Linked DNA regions of Alligator mississippiensis. Each later gene encodes a partner of the first gene's protein in a complex. Links are inferred from orthologs where the notes say so. Each region holds a gene or a part of one and is shown on either strand. Other genes may lie near its edges.

Region 1 (6,826 bases):
GGAGGGAGTCCTGGCTCTTGGTCAGGAGCCCCAGCAGCTTCAGCCACCTCTTGTAAGTGTCTCAAGCGCCAAGCACCGGGCGAAGGCGGCTGTGACCACGTCAGTCCCTGCCCAGCCCTTCTCCCCGCACCGTTCTGGTTAGGGATCGCGGCACCTGGAGCGCGCGCTCGCTCTGCCAGACGGCGCTGGGCGTGCTGGCGCCGGGCCCAGGAGACGAGCCCGTTCTGCGCCGGCAGGCTGAGGAGCAGGAGCGCGGGGCAGGCCGGCAGCAGGGCCGGGTGAGGGGCTGCTGCGGAGGCTCGCTGCCCGCCAAGGCCCGGTGGCCTTGCCTCTGGTGGCACACCGGCAGGCACTGGTCAGGCCTCGCCCCCGGGCAGGCGTTAGGGCAGCACTTCCACGGGGCGGCTGCGGGGCCGGGTGTCGGGGCGGTGCTCGCCGCGCCGTGGATGCTGGCGAGGCGGCTGCGGGGCCTGGCATTAGGGCGGTGGTTGCCGTGCGATGGATGCTGGTGAGGGGCGGTGATTGCTGTGTGGTGGACACAGGTGAGGGGTGGCTGTGGGGCCCGGCGTTAGGGCGGTGCTCGCCACACGGTGGATGTGGCTGAGGGGTGGTCACAGGGCCGGGTGTCGGGGCGGTGGTTGCCGCGTGGTGGACGGTGGCTGGAGGGCGCTGAGCAAAGGGCGGCTGAGAGGCCAGGTGCGGGGGCGGTGGTTGCGGTGCGCTGGACGTGGACGTGGACGTGGGCGCGGGGCGGCTGCGGGGCCTGGCGTCAGGGTGGCGTTTGCCACAGGGTGGATGCGGGCGCGGGGCGGTGGTCGCGGTGCGGACGTGGAGCGCGGGGCGGGGTGCGAGGGTGGTCGTGGTGTGGTGGCTGGGGGGCCGGGGCGCTCCCGGCCTCGCTCGGGCCCAGAGCCGCGGCGGGGCCGGGACCCCGCACCGGCACCCCCCGAGGCGGGCGGGCGCTCCCCCGCGGCCGGGCCGGGCCGGGCTCCGGGCGCGAGGGGGTTAAGGCGCCCGCCCCGCCCCTCCCCCCGCTCCCGCAGCCGGGCCGCGCCGCGCCGCGCCGCGGGCTGACCTTCACGGCCCCGCGCATGCGCCCCGCGGCTCCCGGCCCGGCTCGGCTCGGCTCGGTTCGGCGCGGCCCGGCAGCTGCGAGCGCCACGGGGCGGGCCCGGGCGGGCGGGCGGGGCGGGAGCGGGGCGCGGGGCCGCTGCCATTCGGCGCTTCGGTGGCTGGAGCCGACGTGGGGCGCCGAGAGGGGGGCTCCGCGGGCCCCGCGCAGCGCCCGGCCCGGCCCGGCCGTGCCCGCCAGGCCTGGGCGTGCCCCTGCGGTGTCCTGCGTGTGTCTGCACAGGACCCCGTGTGTCTGTGTGCGTGCAAAACCCTGCTTGTTCATGCAAGTGTGCACGGGATCCCACCTACTGTCGCACGTGCACGCGTGTGAGACGCCACGTGCCGACGCGTACCTGCGCTCCTGCCTGTTGGTGGGCGTGTGAGACCCGGCGCACACGTGCGCGCCTGGTGTGCGGCCCTGCACGCGTGCCCCACCCCGGCGCATGGGGGACGCAGGCCGTCCAGCCTGTTTGTGGCGAGCCCCCGCGCCGCGGCAGGGGCCGGCCGCGCCATCAGGGCCTGGAGCCGGCCGCGGCCCCGTGCCCTCCCGCTGCCCCGGGCGGCCTGGCCGGGCTGGGCTAGCGCTCCCTCCAGAACGGCGTCTCGGCACGTGCAGGCAGGGCCGGCCCGCTCTGCGGGCGCAGCAGCTTGCGCCCCCCCCCCGTGGAGGGATCCAGGGAGACGGCCCCAGCATCCTCTTGCCGCGGAGGCGGGAGCGTCCCAGCCGTGGGCGCGGTGCCCGGCCACGAGGAGCGGGACGAAGGCAGGGAGGGCGCATCCTGCGTCGGAGGATGCTTCTGTTGCAGAGACGTGGGCCTGGTGCTGCCCACCAAACAGGGACCCGGAGCCGGGGTTCAGCAGGACGGCGGCCTGCCACGCGCTGCCCAGCGCCCCTGTCCCCCCGGCTCCTGGAATCCCCCCAGGGAGCCCCACGCAAGTGCCGGGGTTGAGCTGCCTGGTCCCCATGCCTCGGGGTGGGAGCTGCGGCGCGGCGCGCTTGCAGCTCGTCCAGGGTCTCCTCCACGTGGTTCTGGCTGCAGCAGTTGGGTCAGCGACCGCGAGAGATCGGTCGCTTCCCGGCTCCTGGACAGGAATTGCGAGCAGGAGGGAAGGATAAACCCTCCTGTAACCTGGCAACGTGTCTCTTGCTGTGGCAGCAAACCCTGGCAGGCTGCGGGCGCATGCGGAGCTGTCAGCGAGCAGATTGCTGCCCCAGGCCACGGCTGCGGTGATGGAGGAGCCAGTGCAGCGGAGCGCAGAATGGCGGCCGCTCCAGCAGCCCGGCAGCACCCGCACCTTTCCCGCCGGCTTGGGCGCTGGGAGCAGGCGAAGGCTGTGAAACCCATCTTCCCTCCTCTTCTGCTGCCCCATCCCTCCCTTCTCCCCTTCCCTGGGCGTGGCGGGGCGCGCCGCATCCCTGGGGACAACGTGCTTTGTCGTGCACGTGAGGCTTTGTGTTGCACGCTGCTGCCGCTCACGCGGGGCAGCATGTACAGCGTTAATGATTTGTCTGTGTGCATCCATCCATCACGGGGGTCTGTGACAGGGCTGGGACAGTGGGCCGCGAGCATCTCGAGGGCAGGGCGCCTAGCCGGGGAGGCGATCGGGATGCTGCGGGCAGGCAGGCGGGGAAGCCAGCCACACATTGTGCCCTGCCGTCGCCATGCTGCGCTGCCTCCTTGGCGCACGCTCCCCCTCCGCCTGCCTCCCTCTCCTCACACTCTTTCCTTCCCCTCGCTTGCGCGCTGCCCTTCCTTTCCCCGGATTTCTGTCTCCTGCTGGTGCCGCGCTTGTCCGGAGGGGCTTGTTCTTAGCCTTCTGTGCTGGAAATCCTGCCAGTGAATGTTTCTGTGCTGCCTGCCACGTCCCTGGGGAGAAGGCCTGGGAATGCAGTGCTGGAGGAGACCAAGACAGCTATTGTTCCCCACGGCTGCCGGGTGCTTTCTTTAGCTGGCAGAGCCTCCCTGCGAGCTGCTCCATGTCCTTGCCGGAGCTCCCCCTGCACCCCAGGGCCCAGGATCCTGTGGCGCTGGAGAGGAGAGGCTGCAGTGCTGCTGCTGGAAGGCTCAGACGTGTTTTCAGTTTGCCTCCCGCTTATCTCTGCTGTTTGGACAGAGAGGTTTAAAAGGCTGGATTTTCTGTCCCTGCAGAGTAAACACACAGACCCGGGCAGCACAAACTATTTCTGGCTTATCAGTTGAGGAATGCAGCAGCTGAGGATTAGCGGGAGTGGGCCGTCAGGAAGGCCCTGAAGGGGCCCCCTCCCCACTCCGCTCTATTAGAAGTGTGAGAGCCCAGCAGGACTCAGAGGGGAGAGTTGGAGAAAAAGGCAGAAAAGGGAAAGAAAGAGGCAGAGGGAGAGGAGAGAGGCTGAGCCGACCCGATGGCCACGGATGAAGTTGCCGGCGGGGCTCGCAAAGCCACGAAAAGCAAACTTTTTGAGTTTCTGGTCCACGGGGTGGTGAGTCGGGAAAGTTAGAGAGCTGGCTGGTGCTGAACAGAGGGATGAGCGAGCCAGGCGCCAGGGCTGGGCTGGGAGCAGCCCTGCCGTGTGCCCTGGGTGCTGGCTGGCGGTCCACGCCGCGTGGCAGGAGCAGGGGATGGGCCCAGCTCCGTGGGCAGGCGTTGGGGTGAGGTGTGCAGCGGTCATTGCTTCTGACGCTGTGGGAATGGGGGGGCGGGTTTGCTTCCAGACCGGTTCCGGGGCAGGGGCCAGAGCGGATCCGACCCCTGCGGTCTCGCAGGGCGCCTGGTTCTGCAGTTCAGCTCCTGCTGCGTGCAGGGATGCTGGGAAAGCCCTGTGCCGCGGGGCGCGGGACTTGTCTGTGGACTTGGCTCTCGTGTGTCCCCTGGCTACCTAACAGGTGACTTCCAGGGGCTCCAGGAGACTAGCTGTGCGCTCGTTGCTGGGGAGCCTCAAGCTGCCATACTTTGGGCACCCTCAACATCCTTGTAGCCTTCCTGTGGCCATTGGAGGCCTCCTGACATTCAAGGGATTGCCATTCGTGAGGGCATGCCTTCCTCCGCCTTGTGTGTCCCTCCGGGGCTCCCAGCAGTGACGGAGAACAATTGCAGCTTGTGACATTGGGGTTTCTTAAGGAGACGTCAGTGTAACAGAAGGCGCAGTGCTGGGGAGTCTGAGGAGCGCGAAGGCTGAGTGGCTGTCAGAGCTTGCGTGCACTTTCTCTTGAGGACCTGGGATCTGCTTGCAGTGGCACCCTCTTCCAAGCCGTCACAGAGGGCTCTGCGTTAGAGTCCAGCAGCCCACGGTGCTGCCCCTTTGGCGGCCTGGCTCTTGCCCTCGGTTTGCTTGCCTGGAGCGTGACGTCTTTGACAAACCCCCGAGATGGGGCGATCCGGACCTGCCAGCCTAGGGCAGTGTGAGCAGCATGCCGTTTATATGAGAACAGCATCCTAGTGACCGCGGCACTGGGGACCCGCAGGATTAGTGACTGGCAAATGAGCACTGGTTGTGAGCAGTGCCCTTGGTCGTACAGCTCGAGTCTGGGGGCAGGCCAGCCTGTGGGGTAGCACGCCTGCCAACGGGCAGGCCTGTGCAGCAGACTGTGAACGGGGGGTGACCTAAGGGTAGAGCTGAATGCATGGGGCAGTCTGCTGGCTGGCACATGCGGACGGCCTGTGGGGCAGTGCAGCACGGGGTGGGCATGTGAGGCGGCCTGGGAGTCGGGAGCACGTGGGTGGCCTTTTAAAGGGTCAAGTGTTCTCTTGGCAATGACAGGCCAACGCACTCCCTTCAGTACCGGGGACAATGGCTGAAGCGGTGGTGAAGAGACCCCCTCTCACCTGTGGGTGGGTGAGGGGTGTCAGGGTCAGTCATAGATTCATAGATGCTGGGGTCGGAAGGGACCTCAACAGATCATGGAGTCCAACCCCCTGCCTAGGCAGGAAAGAGTGCTGGGGTCAGATGAGAGTCAGGCTGAAGTCAGGCTTTCTGATGCAGAACTGGGCCTCTCCAGCGCTGGAACTGCCTGAGGATGTTGACAGTAGTGGATGACCAAAAACTGGCTTCCGCTGTGTGCTTGGCCTTCCAAAGAGCCTTTGCTGTAGTTTGTCGCCATGCAGGCGGCATTGGAGACTGGCTGCCTCGTCCGCGAGGGGATTGCAGGCTCCAGCATCGCTCCGCGCATGTGGCTGCAGTCAGGCAGATGTCTGGGGCGGAGGTCGCTGGTGCCGGTGTGGCACAGCTCTCCTCAGAGCAGCCCACTGCTCCTTAGCAAGGCCCCGCAGGCCTGCCCCAGCAGCTTCTCCTCCCACTCCCTGGGCAGTGGAGCCCTGGCATTATGTTGTGTGTTTTCCTTTTACTGCTGCACTGACCCTGATCTACTCTTTTAGTTCCTTCACCTCCGTTCTTGCCTCCTTCCTTGTCCTTCTCTGGACGTGGGCACAGCCAAGTCTCCTCCACCAGAAGGAGAGTCTCTCCTGACCTCACCTGTCTCGCCAGCCTGCGCTCCTTCATCTCTGCTCTGGCCCCTGTGCTCCTCCATCTCCGCCTCCAAAACGACTGAAGGAGCCGTCACAGCTGCTGCCTGCGCTCTCATTTCTCTAGCCACTCGGCCTCAGGCTGCAATGGGTCATGCAGTTTCCGTGTAAAAGCGAAGGCAGCAGCAGAGTCTCTGATAGTGTCCATGAGGCTGTAGCTCTTGATATGGGGGCAGAAGTGCTTGAGGTGATAACTGATGAGTTTTCTGTCAGGGAGGGGCGCCAGTGTCCTCAGCAGTGTTGTTGCCAGTGGTGGAAAGGATTTTGGAGAGAAGACTCTTGCCACATTTCCTGGGGACTGAGACTGGACTTCCCGAATCCCTGTCGGCACACACTTTGTCACCAGCTCTTGTGTCATCGTTCTGGGCTCTGCCCCTCTCCTCCATCTCTGGTCCTGACCCTCTCTTTGCTCTACCCCAGTGATCCTCAGCTGGGCGGTACAAGACCCTATCAAGGGTCATGCACATTATGAGTCCTGTTAGGTGTCCAGACACTTACACATGATTCATAAGATAAACCCAGAGATTTCAAACAGGAATCCCCAGCATCACAAACTTTCAGACCTGCTGTGGTCCCTCTTGCTTTCTTGTCACAGAAGAATTGCTCTTATTTTTCCATGGTCGAGAAATGAGTGACAATGAAGAGGTGGCATTTTCTGCGGGGGCCTGGAGCCTCACAAGGTGTGTCTTGAGTCTGGAAAGGTTGAGAACCTCTGCATTATCCAGACTGGTCTCGTGATGGGCAAGATCTTGAAGCCTGTGCTGTAGCCTCATTCTCCTTAACTCCATGATGGCCTTTGCTGCTGACAACCACACCTTCCTGAAATCGCTTTCTTGGCACTCCTGTCCTTTTATGGTCCCTGCCTACCTCAAGCCTGCTTTAACAGGTCCTCCTCAGCCTGTCTTGGTGGACACCTCTGAAGGCCCTATCTCTGGCCTGTCCTTTTCCCCTCTCTGCACCCTGTTTGCAGTGCTCTGATCCAAAACCCTGCCGGTAACCATCTTTATGCTGATATACCAGTCTGCTGGTCAGCTTTCTCCCTTCCTTTAACCAGTAGCACATTCTCACTTGCCTTTTCTGGCATCTGTTCTGGGTGTCCAGCCATCAAGTAAGCTCAGCTTGAATAAAACAGAGGTATTAATCTCCTACAAACCATCACCTTTCTACCTGGTGCTGCCCCGGCCGGTCGCGTGGACCTCCTCTTTGGTCTCTT
Region 2 (7,844 bases), on another chromosome or scaffold:
CTAACTTTTTTCCTGAGTCACTGTTTTCCAGGATATATTCTCCTGGAGTATAATTTTAACCTTTGTTCATTGTTCTTAAATGTATGACCTTGGCTGTGTTAAAATACTTAAGACTCAAATGGTCTAAGTTGGTTTGTGTAACTGACCAATCATTACTTATTATGCTTGTATCATCTCCAAATTTTCTATTTGCTTCTGAATGGGTGATAAAAGATACCAAATGTCATTTGGGTAAAGAAGAGATCCCTGCAGGACCCCACTTGAAATAGCCTTAACAGACAATGACTTCCCATTTACAATTATATTTTACAATCTTTCAGTTAAGTAGTTTTCGATCCATTTAAGTATAGTCTGATTTTTGTATACTACCAATTTTTTTAAAAGTCAGAATGTCATGCAGGACTAAGTCAAATGCCTTATGGAAGTCTAAGTAGATTATGTCAGCACAGTTACCTTTATCAACCGAACTTGTGATCTCATCAAAAACAATAATAGGTTTGACAAACCCTATTTTCCATATAACCAATGTTCACTGGCATTAATTATGCTGCCATCTTTTAATTCTGTATGGATTGCATAGTCTCAGCTTTTCTATGATTTTACCTGGAATCAGTGTCAGAATAAATGGCCTGTAATTTCCTGTGTCCAACCTATAACCCTTTTTAGAATATTTGTATTGTGTTAGTTTAGAATTAATAATGTTGTGGGGAAGGATAGCGCACACATTTGATAACAGAATTGAGGGCTCAGTAAATCCTAGAAAATACATTACTTCCTTGTAGAGGCAGGATCACAGTACAGGAGTTTATGAGGCCCTGTATTCCAGTATCATATGTGCTATATATGTATATATATGTGTGTGTATGTGTGTGTGTGTATATATATATATGGATTGTTGTGCTTGAGACGTATGGATTGTTGGGGGGGAGCTGTTATATAGTGCTAGGGTGTTTAGATCTATAAGAGAATGGTTTTTTGGTTATATAAAAACTGAATATTTATGTACCAAGAAACCATGTGAAAAACAGACCGAAAGAGTCACTATGACCAGAATAAAGACAGGAAGTTATGGATTACACACCTAGGGAACAAGCACAGCCCAGAAAATCAAATATTTAGTCCACCCACCAAAAACAAATCCTCAGTGAAATCACCCTGTCCCATTCACACACTACACCTTCCCTTTGCTTTCGATTAGAATGTGCCACTGGACAGCAGAAAGTAACTGAGACTCAGGACCATTTTTTTTTTTTTTTTGGTGTATCTTCAGCTCTCCCAACAAGTAGCAGTTTGGTCAGTGGAATTAGTGCCTCAGTTTACACACCTGTAAAATGGAGATTGCCAACCTAAGCATTTTGAAGATGTAAAGCTACATAAGGGCTTACTGTGATGTATTAATGCTGTTTTGCTCCTGTGAAAGGCGACTGTAATTTATATGCATTCAGACTACATAGTGGTCATGAAAGGCAAAGGAGGGGGAAAAATCAATAGGCAATAAACATGTTGGGCTGACTCTCCCTTCACATAAATTTCATACCAACAGCAGCTCTCTGGCACCAGCAACTAGCATTCTTAAAGACATCTGAGGAAATGCAAATCTTCCACCTCAAGAGTCAGCAGTTGATTTATGCTCATTTAATAAGGGTAGGATTTTCAGATTTTTCTATTTTTTTTTTAATCTGGAGCAAGCACTGATGTTCTCTTTGTAAAAAGAGGGGGGGGGGAACAATATTACGCGACAGCAGAATCAATAGTCTTCCTCACTGCAGTGAAAATTAATTTTTGAGGGGGAAAAAAAAAGAAGAGAATAAGGCATTCTGGGCATGTTTTTCTGTAAAGCTCAATTTATAACGTGCATGTTAATTGAAGCTTAATATCAGTGCTTCTCCAAGAATGAACTTGGTGAGGAAAGATTTGAATAACTCAATGCCAGCATGTCTGCAACCTCTTAAGCTTTTTCATGCTAGCTGAAATGATCAGGTTATTGGCTTCTGTCAGGCTCGGCTTTAAGGAAGACAACTTTTAAACTAATTGGCATAGAATAAATAATGTAATTTCATGTTTATATAGGCATTCTTTATATCTAGCGCCTGTCATTCAAGGAGGATTCCAGCAGGCGTTCAGATGGGAACACTACATCCACTGCAGAAACGTGGCCCCCTGTGGGATTGAAAGGAAAGCAGTTCCCGTTCTAATTATTCGGCTTTTCAGTGGTGCTGGGAACTTCTGAAAATGGATAGACAAATTGAACAGACACTTCCCAGGGAGGGTCTGGGAAAAATGCTTCCACTGGAAATGCTGGTGAGGGGTTTTTTTTAATGGAAATTACAGTACCATCTGGGTTCATTTTAGCTACAATACAAACTTGAGCTCATCTTAACCGTTCTTTGTATGTTTCTACAGGACAAATTGAAGGGGCCTGGCACAAGGGAGTTATAAGTCTGGCATATAACCACATTTCAAGCCCCTTGAGAGAGAGAGAGAGAAGGATGTAGAGAAAGGAAACAAAAAGAAGAAACCTCAGAAAACCAGAATCAGCAGCTGGTGAGAGACGTCCAGTTACATATGTCCCCTTCCCAAATAATTCTCCTTTACAATATTTTGTCTGATTTCTCCTTTTATACTGGCTTTTTTCCTTCTCTCAAGGCCTCCCTTTCTCGTCTGCCTAGTTAGATCACTGCAGTGTTTCTTCTTTAATTTTCTTTCTGTTCTCTCCTTTTTCCAGCTGGCTTACCCTAAACACAGCAATGGGATGTGAGTAGTAGGAAAAGATGCACATACTCATTCCAGGGACTGTATCTGATCAGGCCACTATCCAGAATTAGCCCATGAGCTGCAGCAAAGCTATGGTCTTAGCTGTGTCCTCCCCTGCTACAGTCTGCCCCCCCCATTTCCCAGTCCTTATGCCATGACTAGAAAGGGGTTCTATTTATCCCCTCCCCACCTGTTAACCATCCTTCTGAAGCATCCAAGAACTCCAGAACCAGATTACATTCCAGAAGCCTTTGCTGTGGAAAGAACTAAGTGTTTCCCTCCCATCCTTAAGCAAAAACCGAGCTGATTTCTAACCTAGGCACCAAATCTTCATGATTTAGAACTATTTTTATTAAGCCTTGAAGATGAGAGAAAATTAGGAAAGCAGATTAGAAAAAATATGAATTATTTCCAACTGAATCCCACCTCCCAAAGAACCCTGCTTTCTTTAGTTAGCTACAGGGATACTTTGTCCATTTGCTGCCTTCTGCATTGATCAGTTAGCAGATTCCAGTTGGTGTAGACTACAATACTATGGACTAGGCTGGGAATAAGAGACGTGTCAGTGACTGGTTTTTTTTCCTATTTGAAGGATAAATAAAGTAGAGCATGTGCGTCTAGAGCTTTGTGGGAGGAAAACTGTGGCTGTTTTTGGGTGGGATCCAAAAGGTTGCAGCTTGAAGTCAGGTGGTGACACTCCTGGGAAATACATTCACAAGCATGTGAGAACCTCAAGTAACTATTCCACATGTGCATACATCATCCTCCTGCCCTGAACCTTGTGGGCCTTGGCTGGAACCGGCAATGTGAGCTAATGCCTTTGGCAATCCCTGACCCTATCTGCTCTCACAAGTCAAACAGTGTCATGGTGAGTCAATGGAGTGCTTTTCCTGTTGAATCAATGCCCAAATGTGGTGCGAGGGGGTGTTGTCTTGCAGCAGAGATTATCTTTCAGCCAAGGCTGAAAACCCCCAACAAACTTAGAAGCTAGTCACCACACAGTGGCACTTCTTGTTAAGGGCTGGTTTATTAAGATGCCCTAACTTGCTCTGCCATTTCAATTAGGTGCAGAGCTGTGTCCCATCCTTCACTCTAATTTATGTAGCATTTTTCCACGCTGTTAAACAAGTGGTAGTTCTACCCAAAGGTGGAAGTTGTCCCTGGGTATCCCTTACCTGCCTCTCAGAAGAGCCAAGATGCTTAATTAGCACATGTTCATCAAGCCTTTTGGGAAGGCCAGGATTACCTAGGCACATCAGCACCATCCCCTTCGGGCTGCCAGGGCAATGTAGGGCAGCCCTGTCTCAAACAATGGGCTTTCTCCTGAGACTAGACCAAGCTGCAGCCTGGTGCCTCTCAGCCTGGGACCCCGCCTAGGTGAGAGGGTTGGCAGAGAAGCCGTTAGCCCTGGATGGCTGTGGGGTGTCAAGAGAATAAGCCCCCAGTCTCTGGCTCTCCAGCCCCCTCTTTCCTTTCCCCCTCATAGTACTCCCCTTTCACCCCTTCCTCTCCCTTCTTCCCACTCCGTTTTTCTCCCAGTCGCCCCTCCCCCACCCCTTTCTCCCTCAGCCACCAGCCCCTTCTCCAACACTCCCCTCCCCCTCCCCTTCGCCGCAGTGGCGCTAGCATTAAGCATGCGCGGCGACAGCAGTTTTTCCCTCCTCCCCCAGCGGAACAGGGGGGAAGGGCATTCGCTCCGCCCTAGAGGAGCGAGCCCGGCTCGAAGCCGGCCTGACACCGCCCCCCCCACCCCCATTGGCTGGAGCTGCATGGGGTCAGCGCGAAGCGGAAGGGAGCGAAGGGAGGTGGGAGAGAGTGGCAGCCCCCGCAGCGCACCCCGATTGGCCGCCGAGCCACGAGGGGGAGGGTCCGCTGCCCCCGATTGGTGGAGGTGCGGCGGGGGGCGAAAAAAAAGCTCGGTCAAAGGAGAGCGAAAATGTTGTCTTCGCCCTCCTGATTGGCTCGGTTCTCCCCCGCCCCCTGGGCGCACGCGACTGCTGCCGGCCGGCTGGCAAAGAGGCCCCTCCCATTAGCCGAGGCGGGGGCGCGCGCGCGCGGCGCTGGTCGAGGACGCGCTGCGGCGGGAGCGCGCGCAGAGGAGGGGGGAGGGGGAACGCGTGCGCGCGCGCCTCCCTCGCACACGGCGGCGGTGGCTCCTTTGTTCCCCCCCGGCACGAGCCCGCGCGCTGCCCCCGTTGCCCCGGCAGGGATGCACCGTGCGAGCGGCTCCTGCGGCGCCGGGCGCGGTAAGGCCCGTGGGCGGGGGGGCCGCGGCGGGGGGCGGGGGCCGCGGAGCCGGCCCCCCCCATGGAATGGGACCGGGCCAGGCACTGAGGGGGGCTACGGTGGCCCGGGCGGGTCAAGACACCTCGGCGCGCGCGACAGGAGCGGCCGGGACCATTGTTCGCCGGGCGGGGGGGGGGCATCGCCGCAGCGTCGCCTCACGCGGGCTCGGCCCCCGCCCCTCCTCCCTCGGGGCCCTATCCTCGCGGGCACGTGCCGCCTCGTCCCGGGAGGGGTCTCCTGCCCCCCATTGAGAGCTCAGACCCTGTCAGCATCTCTTCCCCTCCTTGTCACAGCCCGTGGGGGGGATCCCCGTGTCTGTGCAGCCCCCTTCCCCCCCTCCGTCCCCCCCCCGACTGCCCTGGTAGCATCAGTCCTTGTGCCCGCGTGGGGGGCTTCGTGGCTCCCCAGGCTCTATGGGGCTCAGGCCTCTTTTCCCTATTGGGGGTTCAGACTGTCCTGACCAGACAGAGGCATCTCTTTCCCCTTCACACTGTGTCGGGGTCTTCCTTCCCCCCGAGGGGATCCCCCCACACCCCTATCAGGGGGTTTTCTGGCCCCTCCCCAGGCATCCCAACTTCCTTGCAGGTGCCTGGCACTCTGCACCCCCCCCCCCCCAGCCCCTCCCTCCCTTCTGCACCATTGCTGCCCTGTCCCCTCCTGGGGGCTTTGCAACCTTTTCCCCCCTCCTTGCACTTACAGGGCTCAGTCTCCATCCTGCCACCACTGCATGATCCACTGTGGGATCCCCTCCCATGCACCTCATAGGGAGACTTTGCTTGCTTCTTCCTTGGCATTTCCATTTCCTTCTCCCCCCAGATCCCCTCTCTCTGCCCCCCCCAGTCCTTCTTCCCTAGCAGTATCTGCTCTTGGGGCCTTTGGTAACCCTCTCTGCCCTCGTAGGGCTCAGAGCCCTCCCTCCTTCATCAGCATCTCTGTCTTTCCCACCTCACACCCTATAGGGGCCCTCTCCCCCTCCATGCCTCACTGAATGATCTCCCTCCTCTTTCACCCCATGGGGGGCTCTGCTTGCCTCTCCCTTGGCATCTCCCATCTTCTTCCCTCCGCCCAGATCCCCTGGGTCTCTGCATACAGCACCCCAACACAGCTCCTCCCTGCTTCTGCCCCCCTCCCAGCAGCATCTGCCTCTGTCAATCTTGAAGACTTTGCTGTCTCCCTCCCCAGCCCTTGTGGGGCTCATTCCCCTTCCCCAGATCCCTCCCCACCATTGAGGGTTCAGACCACCCCACCTCGTCTAGCACCATCTCTCACCCTCTCATACCCTACAGGGTGGGGGAGTCTCTCCTCCCTCATACCCCATGGAGGGGCAGCTCAGCTCATCCCCTCCTTTTGGCATCCTCATCCCTTCCCCCCCCCCCAGCACACTGACCTGTGGCCCCCACTTATTAGTGGGATTCTTCTCCATCCTTCCCAGAATACCAGTGTGTTCCCCCTCAACAATATCTTCTTCATCCTTCCCCCAAGGGAGCTGCCCTTTTAAGATCCCCCCCCCCTTGAAGTACCTACCTTCTTCCTGCTCTTCAGCATCACCATCTGCCCCCCATCCCCTCCAAGGGAACTGCTCCTTTGTCAACATCTTTTCCCCATCCTAGGTGAGTGGGCTTTCCCATCAGCATCTCTACCCTCATCCCCTTCTGTCCTCCCCCAGCATAACAGAGGACCTTCCTGGGTTTAGCATCACCACCAGCCCTAGGGGGGTTCTGCCCCCATTCAGCCTTTCCCCATCTCATTTCTGGGAGACTACCCTGACAATGAGCACCTCCCCATAGTCATCACTTTCCCCCACCCAACCCTTGTGTTTGCACTGGTCCCTTACTCCTCCTGTTCCCTGGGGAATGGGTGACATGAGGGTCACCATTGAGGCCAGGCCCCTAACTCGCAGCCCTTTTTGCATTCAGTTTCTACCAGTAAAAATAATGCCAAAGCCTGCGGAAGAAACCCATGGGAGCCAAGTCAGTTCACCTCTGCTCTTGGAGGGACCAGGAACCCCTTCCTCCAAGCTGTTGCCCATTGCCCAGGCTTGCTATCTCGTGGGGGAGGGTGCTCCCCTACATGCACATATATGTGCACCCATGCACACACAGGCACACAAAGCCCATTCTCGTGTTGGGGGAGGGGGCTGAGAAGAACACCATTCACAGTAGCAGCTGCACAGACTAGGCACAGAAACACATGCGACCCCACACACAAAGCCCATTGTCACACAGTCATCCCCCCTTCCTCCCACCTCATCTGCATGAATTTGGGGCTGCAGGTTTACAGTGCATCTTCTCCCAGGGTTCAGTTAAAACAAAAAAACAAAAAACCCTCCCCCCCACTTTTAATGATATGCACAAAGCACATTTGAATGCAAATTAATTTCCTTCTTCAGCAGGACCAACTATTACAAATCAATTGACAATTGACAGGATGCTCCCTGTTCCCTGGTGCCCTGATATCAGGAGTGGATTTTAACTGTCTTCCCTTCATCTCCTGCTTCAGCGTGGGTTGCTCTTCCTTCTTGGTTAGGCTGCCACTAACAATGTAGTCTATTGTTTTAAAGCAGGGTCTTTGTTGTTGTTTGTGGCGCTTGTCTTTAACTGTCCTTGTAAATTAATTGAATAATATGCTTTTTTTTCAAGGCATATACCTCAGGACAGCTCATGGAAGGAGGTGCCTCTCAATTGAACATTTACAAAATGCCCTTGGCTTTCCAGATACTACAATTTTCTATGTAAAACTGTGGAAAATCTTGACCCAAATATTACAGTGTTAAAATCTTTGAGATCTCTGACTGCATGTAATAA
Region 3 (7,797 bases), on another chromosome or scaffold:
CTTCTCTCCCCACACCTGGCAGCCTCAGGTTCATAGGCAGAGAGAATAAAATATACCAAGGTGTGGATGAGTTGGGGTTTATTCCTGGCAACAATACGTCATTGATTCCCCACTTCTCTATATCATCACACTAGCTGGGATAATGCAGTGGGTACTAAATGCCTCTCAGCACACACAGAGCAAAATCCTAACCATGCTCCTTTGAGCAGCCTGCCCACAATAGCCACTTTAGAACAATAACCAGCAGCCAAGTCTTCACCAACTGGAAGGGGAGAGAGAAGCTTATTTTCATGTTACACAGATTCATCACTTGGGACTCTGACCCCATTGGGGTTGGCACCATGTGACAGTGTGGACAGAAAGTACTGGAGACTGAAGTAGTCCCTTAATTCTCAAAAGAGGCAAAGGAAAGGCAGCAGGTAGGCAAGTTCTCTCCACATCACCCCTTGACACAACCACAGCCTTTTGTAGGGGTGAGATGAGTGTTTCTTATCCCTGTCCCTTTGATGCCCAGCATCCCAATCACTATCAGCAAAGGGGCCTGTGGTGGTGGTGGCAGTGGTTTCCCTGCCATGGACAGCTTTCCCTCAACTGGGCTGACATGCTGGCACATCCCACTGCACAGACATTAGACAGGACATTCCCTTCAATCATGCCTGCCCTTACATGTTCTTCCTTTTTCTCCTCATCAGGCCCTCAGTACTGGATTTATGATGGTGAGAGACGTGTCTCTGGCCCTGCACCTATTACGGAGCTAGGCCTTTCTACTTCTCCCGTCCAGGCAGCCTTGATGTGGGGGACTGAAAAGAACAAGATTTACTTCTTCAAGGGAGGCAATTATTGGCGCTTCAACCCTAGCGCCCGCCAGGTGGACAACGTCTACCCCCGCACAATGGCTGACTGGCGTGGCATCCCTCAGGAGATTGATGCTGCTTTCCAGGATGAGACTGGTGAGTACAGAAAGGAGGAGACACATATCCCTGCATGTGTGTTCTCACCTAGTCCTGCCTCTTCAGTGGGAAGGGAATCAGCAGGATTTGGAGTGTAAGGATCATGTGTAAATTAGCATTCATAAAAGAAACACATGAATGCACACATATGAACACTATGTATACTGAGCGTGAAATCAGTGTCCAGTGTGTATGTGACTGATGCATTTGTAATAAACTTTGCAGACGACCAAGTAATTAAGCATCTGTAGCCTCCTGGATATTAGCATCCTTTGGGAGAAAATGCAAGGAGAACCATGTAGACATATTTTGTTGGTTAGAGAGACTCTAAATCAATACTGCCCTCCATTCTCTTAGTCACGTGAGTTTATATGACTTAGTTTATATAAGCTGTATATGCACTGATCAATGCTTGTATTAATCAGTAATCTAACGAGGTTACAGACTAACACAAGGAAAACTTCCACACTGTACACACTCCACAAAGAAAAAATGCATACCAGCATTATGAACAGCACTTCCTTTGCTTTGGAGGATGCTCAGAATAGCAGAGAAGTACTGTCATTATCATCTGGTTCCCCACACTGGGGTTCTTTGCTAAAAAATGGCAGAGCAATGCCACACCCTTTATCCAGAAATATGTTGGGAGCACTTGACAAGAGATGCATTAACCCTAACATCTTTTCCTTCCAAGGGAGTCCTTCATAATCAGCATTATGCCTGAACTCTCAGTAGTGGCTTGAATCTCAAGGGAAGGGCATCTCTCAGTGGTAACAGATTCCCATCACCACCATCCTACACCTACTTGCATATCGAGTAAAGGTCTAATTCTGAGCCCTTATCTCCCACTCAGGCTGTATTTCTCTCCTCACCTCCCTCCCCTATTGGTACCACACTTAAAAAAGGCAGCCTGATTTGCTAACCTAGTGAAGCAAAACAATGGGAAGAACATTTCTGGGTGACACGACTGACATGCACAGCTTTCTGCTCACCCTCCTTTGCTGTTTAGTGTTCTGGCCTTTGGTGTGGCTCTTCATCCTCTGAAAAAAACGAAGGGTCTTGTCAGTAGTATATATTCTGTCTCCTTTGACACTTCACCACTCTATTTCCACAGGTTTTGCCTATTTCCTGAGAGGCCGACATTACTGGAAGTTCGACCCAGTTCAGGTGAAAGTGCTAGAGGGTTACCCACGCCAGATCAGCCAGGACTTCTTCAGCTGTACACCTTCCTCCAACTCCTTCCGATGAAGAAAGGGGTGCTAATGGCCCCAGATTCTTCTCCTGCCTTCACACATCACCACCAGTCACCTCAAGAGATGTCCCACACTCTGACAAAGAAACCCCACTCCTGTCGTGCTCATCACTTAACACCATAGGTGGCACAAGTGGCTTGAGGCAGCTGTTAGTCTAAGGTGGAAACCTTAGATTCCAGGAGTTTGTACTCACAGCTTGGTATAGACATTAAAGATGACTGCAGCCTTGATGACTACCAGCTGCCTGCATTAAGGGTCGAGTGGCTGCTCTAACAGTTTTTTGGCACTGACATCCTAAAGACAAGAAGCCAACTTGGAATGGGGTCTGCTTCCATAATTATCTGGACACCATCCACTTAGAAAAGGGATTCCACTGGTATTTCTTTTGTTTACATTGTGTACAGCGGGGCTTCGCTTACTGATGTTTGCATTGGTGAGAACAGATTCCATCAATAATCCTTTCCTTAGCCTTGGCTGGGAGTTTTAACAGTCAGTTGACTATGTGTTGAGAAATTCAGATATGTGCCCATGTTGCCAGGGTTACTTCAACAGGACGGGGTGGGCTCCTGAATTTCAGCATCTTGTTCCACGTCTAGTGATACTTCTGTTTTTGTATTGCATTTTAAGTATGTATTTTCATTTTATATGGATTTGTGAAAATACTACATACTTTTTTAAGAAAAAAAAAAAGATGCTAGGTTTCAGTGCTGGACGCTGCCTTGTATCTCCATGTATTGTTACTAACTCTGGGAGTCTCAGTAGGACACTAGATCACCACACGACCTGCGGAGGGTCTGAAACTTCACCACCAATTTCAGAACTGCACTTGGCCAATGTCCAGGTCTCGGTTCAGCTCTTTGTTCTCTCCCTATCACTGCAAATCATTGTGCAAACGATGATTATTTTGTTCTTTTTTGTTCCTCCCCCTTTCTACCTCTCTCATCCATGCCATTCCTAGCCCTCGCCCCATCTCTCCAGTTCATTCCAGTTGCATCTGCTTCCCAATCTCATCATTTCTGATGCTTGGTACGGATCTAAAAAAGAAATCAACAAAACAAACTTTTGCTGGTTGTTACAGTCCCAGGTAGCATGACGACATCCCATTACTGCTCTTCCCAACTGTCCTGGGAAGGGTAGTCCAGAGGGGGTTGAGACCTACTCAGTTATCCTTTCCATGTATCAGCTTTCCTTCAGAGCTAGTCAGCAGAGACAAGTGGGATTTAAACCTACCCACAGCAAATAAGGGATGTGGCTACATGGCCTGTACCACCCCTAGCCTGCATGGTCTGCCTAAGCACTACAAATTTACCTCATTCATTTTTCAGGTCAAGGTTTTTGTCTTCTCAGTACCCATTTCTACAGCCGTTCTTCTTCTGTATGTAAATGTTTGTAAAATGTGTATAAACCCTTTTTATATATACTGTGTATATATTTATATGCTGTGCTGTATCAATGAACGTGATCTCTTTTCTATGCTCTGCCTGGTCTGAGTCTCTCAACATCAACAACAGCTTTAAAACCGGTCCCAACTCGAGACCTCGTCTTAGGCAGTGACGGAGCTGGAAACGCAAGTGGTATTTTTGTAACCAGGTCTCAACATGCTCAGTTGACCCAGTTTCATCAAATGCAGCAGTTGTGGCTACCAATTATCCTCACCTAATAATATATATCACTGCAGTAGTGTTTAGAGGCCTTTGATCAGGATGTAGGCAGGAAACTATGGCCTTGTGCTGAAGAAAAAAGTGAAGGAAAACTATAGCAAACACTGAGGACAGGCAAAGCCTGAGGAGCCCCTGCAGAGCTGCTAGTAATTGCTCGTTGCCAGCAGATCCAGGGAGATAATTATTCCCCTCTACTCAGCACGGGGAGGCCACATCTGGAGGACTGTGTCCAGTTTTGCAGCCCCCCAAAGGGATGTGGACAAATTGGAGAGTCCAGCAGAAGGCAGAGGCAATGGCTGAGGGGCTGGGGACACGACACACCAGGAGGCCGAGGGAACTGGGCTCATTTAGTCACGGAAGAGAAGACGGAGCAAGTTTGAGGGCAGCCTTCAACCACCTGCAGGGGGGCTGCCACGAGGACGGGGCCAGACTGTCCTCAGCGGTGGCAGGTGACAGGACAAGGAGCAAGGGTCTCTAGTCGCAGCAAGCTGAGGTTGGATATTAGGAAACACTCCTGCCGAGGAGGGGGGCGAAGCCCTGGGACAGGCTGCCCGGAGACGGGTGGGATCTCCAGCCTGGGAGGCTTTTAAGGACCTGCTCGGCAAAGCTTTGGCTGGGGCGATGCCGCTGGGGACGGCCCTGCTCCGGGCAGGGGCTGCACTCGATGCGGCCCGAGCTCCCTCCAGCCCCCGGTGTCTGCGGCACCAACCAAGCGACCCCTCGGCGCTGCTGCAGCCCCCGCTGCCGGCTGGCGCCAGACGAGCCAGGCAAACGCCGCGTGCAGCGGGACTCGGCCTGGGAAAGCCGGCGGGGACCGACGGCACCAGCCTGGGGGGACGAGTGCTGCCAAGCGCACAGCGCGCCCCGCCCCGCCCCGCCCCGCCCACCCGGCGGGCCCGAGGGGGCGGGGCGGCGCGTGCGCACTGAGAGCGCGGAGCAGGCCGCAGTCTACCCAGCCCAGCTCGAGCCGCTGCCGCGTCCCGTCCCGTCCCCGCCGCCACGATGATGATGATGGCGCTCAGCAAGACGTTTGGGCAGAAGCCCGTCAAGTTCCAGCTGGAGGAGGACGGCGAGTTCTACATGATCGGCTCCGAGGTACCGCCGCGCCGGGCCGGGCTGGGCCGCGCCGGGAAGCGCCCTGCGGTGGGGGGGAGACGGGCTGTGAGCGCCCCGGCACCGCCTGGACACCCCCGATTGGGGCAGGAGGTCATGATGGGCGCGCGCACACACACACTGAGTGGGGCAGGGGGTCACAATGGGCGCGCGCACACACACACACACACACACCCCAGTTTGGGGCAAGGGATCACGGTGGGGGCACACACATGCGTGCACACACACTGATTGGGGTAGGGAGTCACGATGATGGGTACACACACACACGCCCCCCGTTTGGGGCAGGGGATCACAATGGGTGCGCGCGTGCACACACACACACACCCCTCAATTGGGGCAGGGGGTCACGATGGGCACGCACACACACACACACACACACCCCCTGATTGGGGCAGGGGATCACGATGGGCGTGCGCATGCGCACACACACACACCCCCCTCGATTGGGGCAGGGGGTCACGATGGGCACAGACACACACACACCCTGATTGGGGCAGGGGGTCACGATGGGCGCACGCATGTGCACACACACACACACACCCCTCGATTGGGGCAGGGGGTCACGATGGGCGCACACACACACACACCCTGATTGGGGCAGGGGATCACGATGGGCGCGCGCGTGCACACACACACGCACACCCCTCAATTGGGGCAGGGGGTCACGATGGGCACACACACACTGATTGGGGCAGGGGGTCACGATGGGCACACACACACACACACACACACACACCCTGATTGGGGCAGGGGGTCACGATGGGTGCACACACGCACCCCCCGTTTGGGGCAGGGGTCATGTTGCTCACACACACTCTCTTGTACACAAACACTTTGGCCCCTGACCGACCAACCCCTGAGTGAGGATAGATGAGGGGGGAGACTCCCCATGACAGCGCCTGGTCTCCGGGCACTCCGAGCCATCAGCAGCCCCTGCTGGGCCTGGCAGACAGGCCGCCAGCCCCACGGGGCTCAGGGCCTGATGAACAAGGCTGGATGGGGGTGAAAGAGCTGCCCCTCCCCCCCCCACACCAACCACCACCATTTGGGGGGGGGGGAAGGGCCTCGTTTGGCTCGCGGTGCCCCCCAGACCGAACCTCCACGCTCTGGGCTCTAGGTGGGGAACTACCTGCGCATGTTCCGGGGCTCCCTGTACAAGCGGTACCCCTCGCTGTGGAGGCGGCTGGCCACTGTGGAAGAGAGGAAGAAAATCGTCGCATCTTCTCACGGTAAGGCCCCGAGCATCTCGTCCTAACACCTCATGCACAAAAGGAGTGTCTGGGAATGGGACCGGGCAAAAACCATCTAATCACCCCCCACCCCTGAGGGAGCTCTCGTTGAATGCCAGGAGACTAAGGCTTTTCTGACTTTTCTCAGGTGAATTTCATTTGCTGTAGCAAGCATCTAATCTAGTCTGCTTGCTCGCTGCTCCTGTGATAACAGGGCAGGAGGGTCATGGTGCTTGTTCGAAAAAAAAAAAAAAATATCCCTCTGATTTGTCTCCTCTCTGGGATCTCTCCATGTGAGATGGGAAGATCAGTGTGAATGGTCGCAGCTTCTAGAGCTGTTGTAATGCGAGAACTGCACCAATAGGAACAAAGCAAAGTCAAAATTTTGTTGTCTCAGGAGTTTGTTTCCTTGTTTCTCTCATGAAGGAGAACAAGCTACTTGAGTTTTTTGGGTTTTTTGGAAAAAAGAAACATAACCTTATAGAAACAACAGGCCTGGAGCATAACAGGCTTCTGTCTCCTTCCTCTGAGTTTCCTGCTGACTTGTCGCTTTCTGTTTTTTTTCCAATAGAGTCACAGCGGTCTCACAGTCCCAGAAGATGTAAGTCTTATCAGCCTATGTTATTCTTAGCTTTGCTGGACAACGAATCCCTGTTCTGACCCTTACTGCTGTACAAGCATATTCGCCTCTTCTGGGTCATTGGACTCGTTTGCCCTCTACTTTGGCTCTTGCTGCCTTGAAGAAGGATGTATTTTTCTTAGTGGTTGTACCGACTGTGTTTGTTCACAAACTTATGTGTGGGTTTTGTGGGCTGTCTCCAGATATGAGGGGGGCTGCCAACCAGTCTCCCAGTTCTCGTTTTTACCTGGTTTTTACAGGCACTTGTCCTGTCTGCAGTGGAGTCTAGCTTTGACTAATGCTTTTGATTAGTGTGTGCAACAAGGGCACACTGCTGACTCGTATTCAGCTTATTGTCCACTGTAACCCCCAGGTCCTTTTCTGCAGAGCTGCTGCCCAGGCAGTCAGCCCCCAGCCTATGCTGGTGCATGGGATTGTTCTGAACTCTGTTCTGCATTTAGCTTTCTGTCTCCTTTCTAGCCCGCCCTCCAGGCCTCATTAGTTTCTAGGATGTCTCTGTCCTGCAGTGGGAGCAATCAAGCACCTCATTAAAGGATGCTACATGAGCATCAGGTCTTAAGTCCATGATGGCACTTGTGGATTTATGGTACAGGAGTAAAGCTAGGTGTCAGCTCATTTTCCTGTCTGTAGTCATTTTATGTTCAAAAGAAGGAACAAAGAGAGTGGTCTTTAACTTGTTGCTGAGGTGTGGTCCCAGGTAAGCAGATTAAGAAGATTTTTTTTATATATCTACAGTGGGAACTCCAGGATAAAAGACATTTTCATCTGATGCACGTTAGATTTAATATTTAATGAGGACTTGGACATTTCCAGTCATTTTCTTGCAGGAATATTAAGGTTTGTTATTAAATAGCTCAAGATATTCCTTTTGTCCTTACAAAAAGTGGTGCTTGATTCTCTAATAATAGGCCTTAGCCTTCTGCTCTAGAAGCACTGGGTTCATAGCTG
Region 4 (7,044 bases), on another chromosome or scaffold:
GGTAAGCAGCAGTGCTGTGTGCAAACTCAAGCTCCACCCCCCCTCCCACCCCACATATAGTTGAATTCGCATAAGTTAAATGCGCGTATGATGCGACAGACTTCTATTCCTTTTAAAAAGAGCCTGATCCCATAGCCATTTATTATGTGACAACAACAGAATTAATTGTGTAAGGAAGGGCTACTAGATCAAGCTCTCCTTAAATAAATAAATAAAAAATCCAGAAACTTACTTGACATTTTGATGGACTGGACAAATTTTCAGTCAGCTAGCATTATAATTGTTATGCTGAAAGACAAAAAAAGGACACCATAACACTAAACATAAGTCTTTATTTTCATTTTATTTTTTAAACTTATACCATCATAAGGTATCTACTGATGGCATGTCAAACATATGGCCTGCAGAGCTGTCTCATCTGGCCCACAGGGCTCCTGGACAGGCTAGGAAAAAGGGAGTAAAGGACACTATCAAAATCTGGAATATAGAGTCCCAGTGGAAATTTATTTCAGCAGCAGGGGGCAAGTGATAGCTGCATTAAGCCCCCTGGCTCCCTGATGGTGCTTGCCCTGCTGCCCCTGCAACTAGTTCTAGCCTGAGAGCCCCACATCAAGATGAATGTGACACCCTGATATACTGCAATTAAAAATCATGGCTGCTTATACACGTGTTCATGGATGGGCATTTTAATGAGACTGGTTCCCAGAGAGTTGTTTTAGTTAAAACGCTGCAGTGTCACATGTATTAAGCCTCCACACATTTAAAAATGGCAGCAGGATGCTTTAACTGAAGCTCATTCAAATTAAAAAAAAATGTCTTTGTGTATTACTGTTTCAAAAAATTAAGAATACTGTGTGTTGGATTTCACTGATCTGGCTTCACTGCTGGCTTCAAAGTTCTGATGGTAGTGAAGGAGCAAGCAGGTGTGTATGATGTCTTTCAATCTTGGTATAACGGAAAAAGCAAGTGCCAACAGTGTCAGATACAAGACCATAAATAACCATGGGGAGATTGGCATATGCAACCACTAATAAACATGAGCTCAAAGAATGTAAATACTCTATAAACTAACAGCAATATCGTACTAACTTTCAGCATGGGAAATATCCCCTTGAAGACTTAGGACAACAAAATCTGGGCCTAGCCCTGTCAGAGTAACAGAGAAGTAGGGCTGGAAGGGGCCTCCAGAGATCATCTAGTGATTCTAGTCCAAACCCCTGCCTGAGACAGGATCACCCCTATCCAAACCATCCCATACAACCATGAACACCAACTATTACTGCTGAAATTCCTGATTCCTATTCTCATACAAAAACAGAAAAAAATCCCTACTGCAGGGGTGGGCAAAATACAACCTGTCGGCCAGATCCGCTAGCTAAGGGATTCTATGCGGCCTGCAGCAGGTCCCTTGGCACCACCCAGACCAGGCACAAGTCAGCTCAGGCCATAGCACATGCAGCTGGTCTTACCACCTCCAGGTGTGGCGGGGGGGGGGGGAGGGGGGGGGGGGAAGGGGCAGTGGCCGGACTCCACTTCCTAGCAGACCCCACATCGGTGGCTCCTTCTGGCTGCTGCCACTAGTGTCACCATTGCTGCTGGACCTGGTTCTGCTGCCCAGGCACCCTGGTCCGTCTGCCCCACACCCACCACCAAAGGTACTGGACAGAGTGGGTGGGGCCTCCACGGAGACTAACCTGGGACCCCTTCCGGGAGGGTGGGTTTGGCTGGGTGGGTGGGATGGGGTCATGGGCTGGTGGCGGGCAGCATCTGGGAGTAGGAAGGGGATCATGGGGTGGTGACAGCACAGGGCCAAGGCCCAGGGCAGAGGGATGTGTGGAGAGTAGATCATGGCTCATGGCCGCTCCTGGCTGCCACTTCCTGCCTACCTGTGGTCCCATCCCATCTGCCTGGCCAAGCATGCCCTGCCCAGGCATGGAAACCACAGCTGGCAGCCCCAGCAGTAGATGTGGGGCAGACAGGCCATGGCTAGACAGGAATAGCTGCCCTGATGCCACCCCCATCCTATTGTAAAGGAAGGTCCTGTCCTGCAGCAGCAGGAAGATCCTGAAACTTGTCAGATTTGGGGGCGATAAGGCCAAAGAACCTGCATATCGAATGGATGTGCACAGGTACTCGGATTTATTGTTATCGTTTGTAGTTGCTCAGTCAGAAGGTGGCCACCCAGGTGTGTTATTTCTGAACTAGGGGTTTTTATTCCCACCAGGAACACCAGCTCCCTGGAGAGTGGGACAGGGGACAGGCAGGGAGCTCCCAGCCACGTGCTCAGGTGGGGTGTGAGGGCAGGGAACCCAGGGCAGCAGCTGGGTGCTGCACCTCACATGAACCCAGAAGATGCTGGGGGTCACTCCCTCCAGCCAAACTGCGGTGGGGGGAGGGGTAGGATCACCTGGCACCGCCCATTCCAGGATGGGGCGGAGCAGCCCCCACCCCCCATTTTGGGCTACTTCCTCCCGGCTTGACCCAGGCCTACTCAGAGACCCTCCCCCCTCCGACCTGTCTTTGCAGCTGGGCCCGGCTGAAGCAGAGACCCGGGCGGGTCCCGCGCATGCGCAGTGCGCCCTCCCAGCCCCTTTGTCCCGGCCGCGCGGAGCCGCCTGCGCTTTGGCCCCGGCACTTTCCACACACGAAGTTGTCGCCCTTCCCCCACCTTTGTGGCTACCCCGCTTCTCCGCCCAGTCTCCCCCAGGCGCGGCTGGATGCGGCGGGAGCCTGGCGGCTCCTGGGCGGGACAGGCGCGGCCGGGCCGTGGCGAATCTGCGGACACTGCAGACCTGCTGAGGCGGGGGGGGGCGTGGAGGATTTCCCTCCCGGGTGCGCGTGGGGGGAGGGGCACCTATTGCCAGAGCCGCCGCGCTGCGGGCCCCGATGCGGGCGGAGGGGGAGGGCAGGTAGCACTCACCAGCTCCGGCCGCGGCTGCGGTGCCTTTGTCCCCGACGCCGCGCTGCTGGGCGAGCGCCGAGCAGGGGAGGAAGCGACCTGCGCTTCCGCCTCGGCACTTTCCACAGAGAACACCCCCCTCCCCCACTTTTCCAGCAACCCTCTCCGAGTTTATTCGTGTTGCGTCTCCCTCAAAAAGCACCACCGCGCCCAGGGCCAGGGAAAGCGGGTTATTTTTCTCTCTTTCCTTTTTGGCGAATCAGCAGGTAGGAAGAAGGTAAAGCCACGTCGGGGGACAGTTGACAGACGCGTGATGAGTGACGTCAGGCAGGCGGAGCGAAGCTTAGCTGATCACGTGTTAAGCCGGGGCGGGGTGAGGCAGTTGGCGCCTTTTTTGACCCGCGCCAGTGCTGTCGGGATTCAGCGGCGCTGGCGCTATTTCCACTGCTTTCCCCTGAGCCTTTTGGCCTCATCTGCATGGAGAGGCTCTCGAAGTGCCATACAGGTGCCAGGGTGATGCTGCCATGTTTGCTTATGTGATGGTGTCCAAGCCACCCTTGCCATGCCACCCAGCTCTCCTTGCAAAACAGCGTGAGGCGCACGTGTGTTGCCATGCACGGTGATGTTTCCAACACAAATGCCCCTTGCACAGTTGTCGTCAGTGAGGCACTTGGCGCGTGTGCAGCTCTTTGACTAGGTGATACCCCATCACCACACCTGTGAAGGTTGCTATAATGCAAAACCGTCCACTCGGGAGCTGCTGCATGGTTATTTTTTAGCTCAGGGTGTCCCCCCATAACATGCTGTGGTTCCCCTCTGCCCTGCTTTCTTTTCTCTGTCAATTATTATTCTAAAAAGAGGTGCCCAGGGAAAGGCGGTGCTGTAGGATTGGCATTTAGACCTGCTGGAGTGCCCCAGGGAAAGAAAAACAGCACCGCAATGCTACCTGATGAAGTGACAGTAGGCTTCACTGGTGAAAGTGTTGGGCAAAAGAGCACAAAATAGATGAACAGAAAGTTTAAAGCTGTACGGTGAGACCAGAGATTTCTTAAGACTGGTGCAAGTGTATCTTAGCCCCAGTAGGTAAGAAGGAAAACATCCACGACTGCAGAAGTTTCGGAGAAAGGAAGCTCACGGAATGAAGACGGGATGGAACGAAGCTCATGGAATGAGACTCCGGAACATGTTGCTGCTACGATTGGTTGAACCTTCACTCAGACAAGAATAGTTTGCCTTTAAGAAAGGGTGAGTGACTACACATGCAATTTTTATGATTGGCAAGTGTAATGAAGCCGTTAAAGTAATATCAGGAAAGCTGGGCTTTATGGGCTTAGGAAAAGCACATAATAAATTAGGTAAAAGAATACTCTCACCTGGGCTGAGGAACTTTGATGTGACCAAGAATAAATGGCATATATACAGATAATTTAAAATGATGATTTGACCTTACACGAATGGCAGATATGAATGATCTTATATGAGTGACAAATCCTCTTGAAGTTAGCATTGAACTGCATTAGGGGTTGGCCCTGTTGTTTACAATATTGCTGGAGATTGTCAGCAGCAAGATCCTCATGGGAGATGGTGAGATGCTTCTGTATCGGGGGCTGGCAATTATTTTGGTTGGAGGGCTGCTTACTGAGTTTTAGCAAGCTGTCAAGGGCCTCATGGGTAGCCACACCCCTTGACAGGTGCCCTGACACCTGGTCTTGGACCAGAAGTCCTGCCCCTCTAACCCCTGACCTTTGCCACCAGAAGTCCTTCCTCTTGCCCTTGAAAATACTCCTTTCAGCAAAGGTTTTTGCCATCTTGGAACCAGAAAAATACCAAATTATATTCTAAAAATCAAACATCTATAACATTCATTAATTTGATTTAAAAAAAAAAATTTTTTTCCTGATTTACATGTATTTGTGTAGTGTACATGGAGGTGATTGCACAATAGCTTAAAATGAAGTCTTATTCTTGTATATTGTGAAGGGGGTGGGTGTATACATGTGTGGGTATAGGTTTTTGGGGGGCTGGTGTGGGTATGTGGGGTGTGGGAGAGGGTGTTGATGTGTGGATGAGGGTTTTGAGGGGGTGGATAGCTGTGTGGGGTAAGGGAGCATCTGGGTGTGTGGATACATGGGGTGTGGGTGGTCACAAGGATTGTGGGGGGGCTGTATGGGAGGGTGGGTGGCTGAGGAGGGCTGTGGCATGTGTGGAGGGAGAGGATGGCTGTGGTGTGTGGGGGGGTGTGGGTGTTGGGGTTAGTATGTATGGCAGTATGAGGGGGTGTGTGGGTGCATGTGTATGGTGGGGGGTGTGTGGGGCTCTCTCCCTGCCTCATTGTGCATGCGCACACACTTTGTTCCATGCATGCGCTCTCTCTCTCTCTCTCTCTCTCTCTCTCTCTCTCTCTCTCTCTCTCTCTCTCTCACTGGTGCCCACCCGCTTGCTGCCACTCACCCCCTTGCCTGCCACCATCCTTTCCCCATTTTCCTGCCTCACCCGCTGGCTGGCTGCTCCGGCATCATGTGGTATCTGCTTGCACCGCCAGGACTGCAGGACTCAGAAGGAGCTGGCCCAGCCTTGAGGACTGGGGTGATCACCCGCAGTCCTCCCCTGCCTCCCTTTTTCTTAGCTGTATTTCCTGGAGGGAGGCAGGGTACAGCCCCATGGTCACCAGACCAATAGCCTCTTCTAGGCAGAGGCTTCCAGTTGGAGGTGGGGCCAGGCGGGTCTTGCTGCTGTGGCTGCTGGGTCCTGCCCCCCTAGGTCTTGCCACTGGCCCTTGGGTCATCTTTGACAGGCAGCCAGGGGCAGATAATTAATTTTCTAAATTTTTCAGGGGCTTCGCGGGCTGGATAGAATGGCTTGGTGGGCCAGATTTGGCCTGTGGGCCATATTTTGCCAGCCCTTGTTCTATATACAGGTGGCATATCCGTAAGAATATTCTATAAAGAAGACTCAGAGAAAATGGGGGTTATGCATCATTTCTGATGATGACAGATAAAAACTTTTCCATATTTGTTTTGATTGTGAGTTCTCATATGGCTATAGAGTCCAGGTTTTATGAAGAATGTTCTTCTACATACAGTTTGAAACATGTAAGATACACCTGTCCCATATTGGATCGGCACTGATATGAGGAAAATTGAGAGCATCAGTAATCAGCTTTTTTTGTCTGATGTGGCCGATAAATGCTGTGTGCATGCATGCAGCTGCAGTGCAGCTTGCAGGCAGCCAGGAGCGCAGCCTGGCAATGTGAGAGCAGCCAGGTCTGGCTGGTAAGTCTGTTGTGGGGGAAGGGGCAAGGTGGGAGGGAAGGTGTGTGTTGTGGGGCAGATTGAGGCCTCCGTGGTGAGGGAGAGAATGGGAGTAGGGCTGGGCAGGGGCAGGCACTGCCAAGCCAGGATGGGGCAGGTAATGGGACGGAGCTGTGGCTGGTTCAGAGGGTTCGGGGGTGGGAGGGGGTGGCTCCTGCCACTGCATGGACCCCAGGAGAGCTTGGGGGTGGGGCGTGTGCCCCTGGATCTGTGCATGGGGCAGGTGGTGGTGGCACTGGGAGGGAGGGTTGCAGCCATCCTAAAATTCGCTGTAGCCTCCGCTCCCAGCACTGCTGCCATGCACCCCAAGCACAGCCCAGCTCCCCCTCCACTGGGAAGAGCCCAGCACTGCTCTAGCCTGCAGTGGCAACCCACCCTCGCCCTGTGCACAGATCTGGGGGCACACGGCCTCCTGGGGTGTGCACAGCGGTGGGAGTGCCCCGCACCACCCTGCCCTTGCTGGGCAGTGCCTGCCCCAGCCTCAGCCCTACACCCTCCCTCACTGCAGGGGCCTTGATCTGCCTCTCCCACGCCCCTTCCCTTCCCCCACCACAGACTTATCAGCCAGACGCCTCTCTCCATGCTGCAGGGCTGCATATTGGAATCAGATTGGTATCAGCCAATATGGCTCGTTAAAAATTAGTCATTGGTATTGACCCAAATTAGTGTATCCCTACTTAGATTGACCTAAAAGTGGTTCTCTCCCATGCTTCATTTGAGCTTTCTTTTCTTCTGCTAGCTGGGTAGAGAGTTATTGCAAATGTAATTAGACTACTCTGAATAAGTTTTCACTACTCTCTTTCTCATACATATCCTGGTCCCAAGTGTCAGTGG

The links.
Region 2: SMARCD3 (region 1) and SMARCA4 share a complex: the UniProt entries of both Homo sapiens proteins name them as parts of the BAF complex. The link is inferred for Alligator mississippiensis from reciprocal best matches to the Homo sapiens genes SMARCD3 and SMARCA4.
Region 3: SMARCD3 (region 1) and SMARCB1 share a complex: the UniProt entries of both Homo sapiens proteins name them as parts of the BAF complex. The link is inferred for Alligator mississippiensis from reciprocal best matches to the Homo sapiens genes SMARCD3 and SMARCB1.
Region 4: SMARCD3 (region 1) and SMARCE1 share a complex: the UniProt entries of both Homo sapiens proteins name them as parts of the BAF complex. The link is inferred for Alligator mississippiensis from reciprocal best matches to the Homo sapiens genes SMARCD3 and SMARCE1.

The regions. Positions count from the first base shown.
Region 1 is NC_081828.1:220,570,361-220,577,186, forward strand, and holds the start of SMARCD3 (SWI/SNF-related matrix-associated actin-dependent regulator of chromatin subfamily D member 3), read left to right. Parts: upstream 1-3,815; 5' UTR 3,816-6,826. UniProt on the Homo sapiens protein: Involved in transcriptional activation and repression of select genes by chromatin remodeling (alteration of DNA-nucleosome topology).
Region 2 is NC_081831.1:23,547,673-23,555,516, reverse strand, and holds the start of SMARCA4 (transcription activator BRG1), read left to right. Parts: upstream 1-4,836; 5' UTR 4,837-5,000; intron 5,001-7,844. UniProt on the Homo sapiens protein: ATPase involved in transcriptional activation and repression of select genes by chromatin remodeling (alteration of DNA-nucleosome topology).
Region 3 is NC_081833.1:18,298,550-18,306,346, forward strand, and holds the start of SMARCB1 (SWI/SNF-related matrix-associated actin-dependent regulator of chromatin subfamily B member 1), read left to right. Parts: upstream 1-4,785; 5' UTR 4,786-4,866; coding exon 4,867-4,959; intron 4,960-6,097; coding exon 6,098-6,209; intron 6,210-6,780; coding exon 6,781-6,810; intron 6,811-7,797. Other genes in the region: MMP11 (stromelysin-3), read left to right, coding at 693-950, 2,065-2,198.
Region 4 is NC_081827.1:164,023,444-164,030,487, reverse strand, and holds the start of SMARCE1 (SWI/SNF-related matrix-associated actin-dependent regulator of chromatin subfamily E member 1), read right to left. Parts: upstream 3,012-7,044; 5' UTR 2,921-3,011; intron 2,539-2,920; exon of another isoform or gene 2,515-2,538; intron 289-2,514; 5' UTR 240-288; coding exon 233-239; intron 1-232. UniProt on the Homo sapiens protein: Involved in transcriptional activation and repression of select genes by chromatin remodeling (alteration of DNA-nucleosome topology).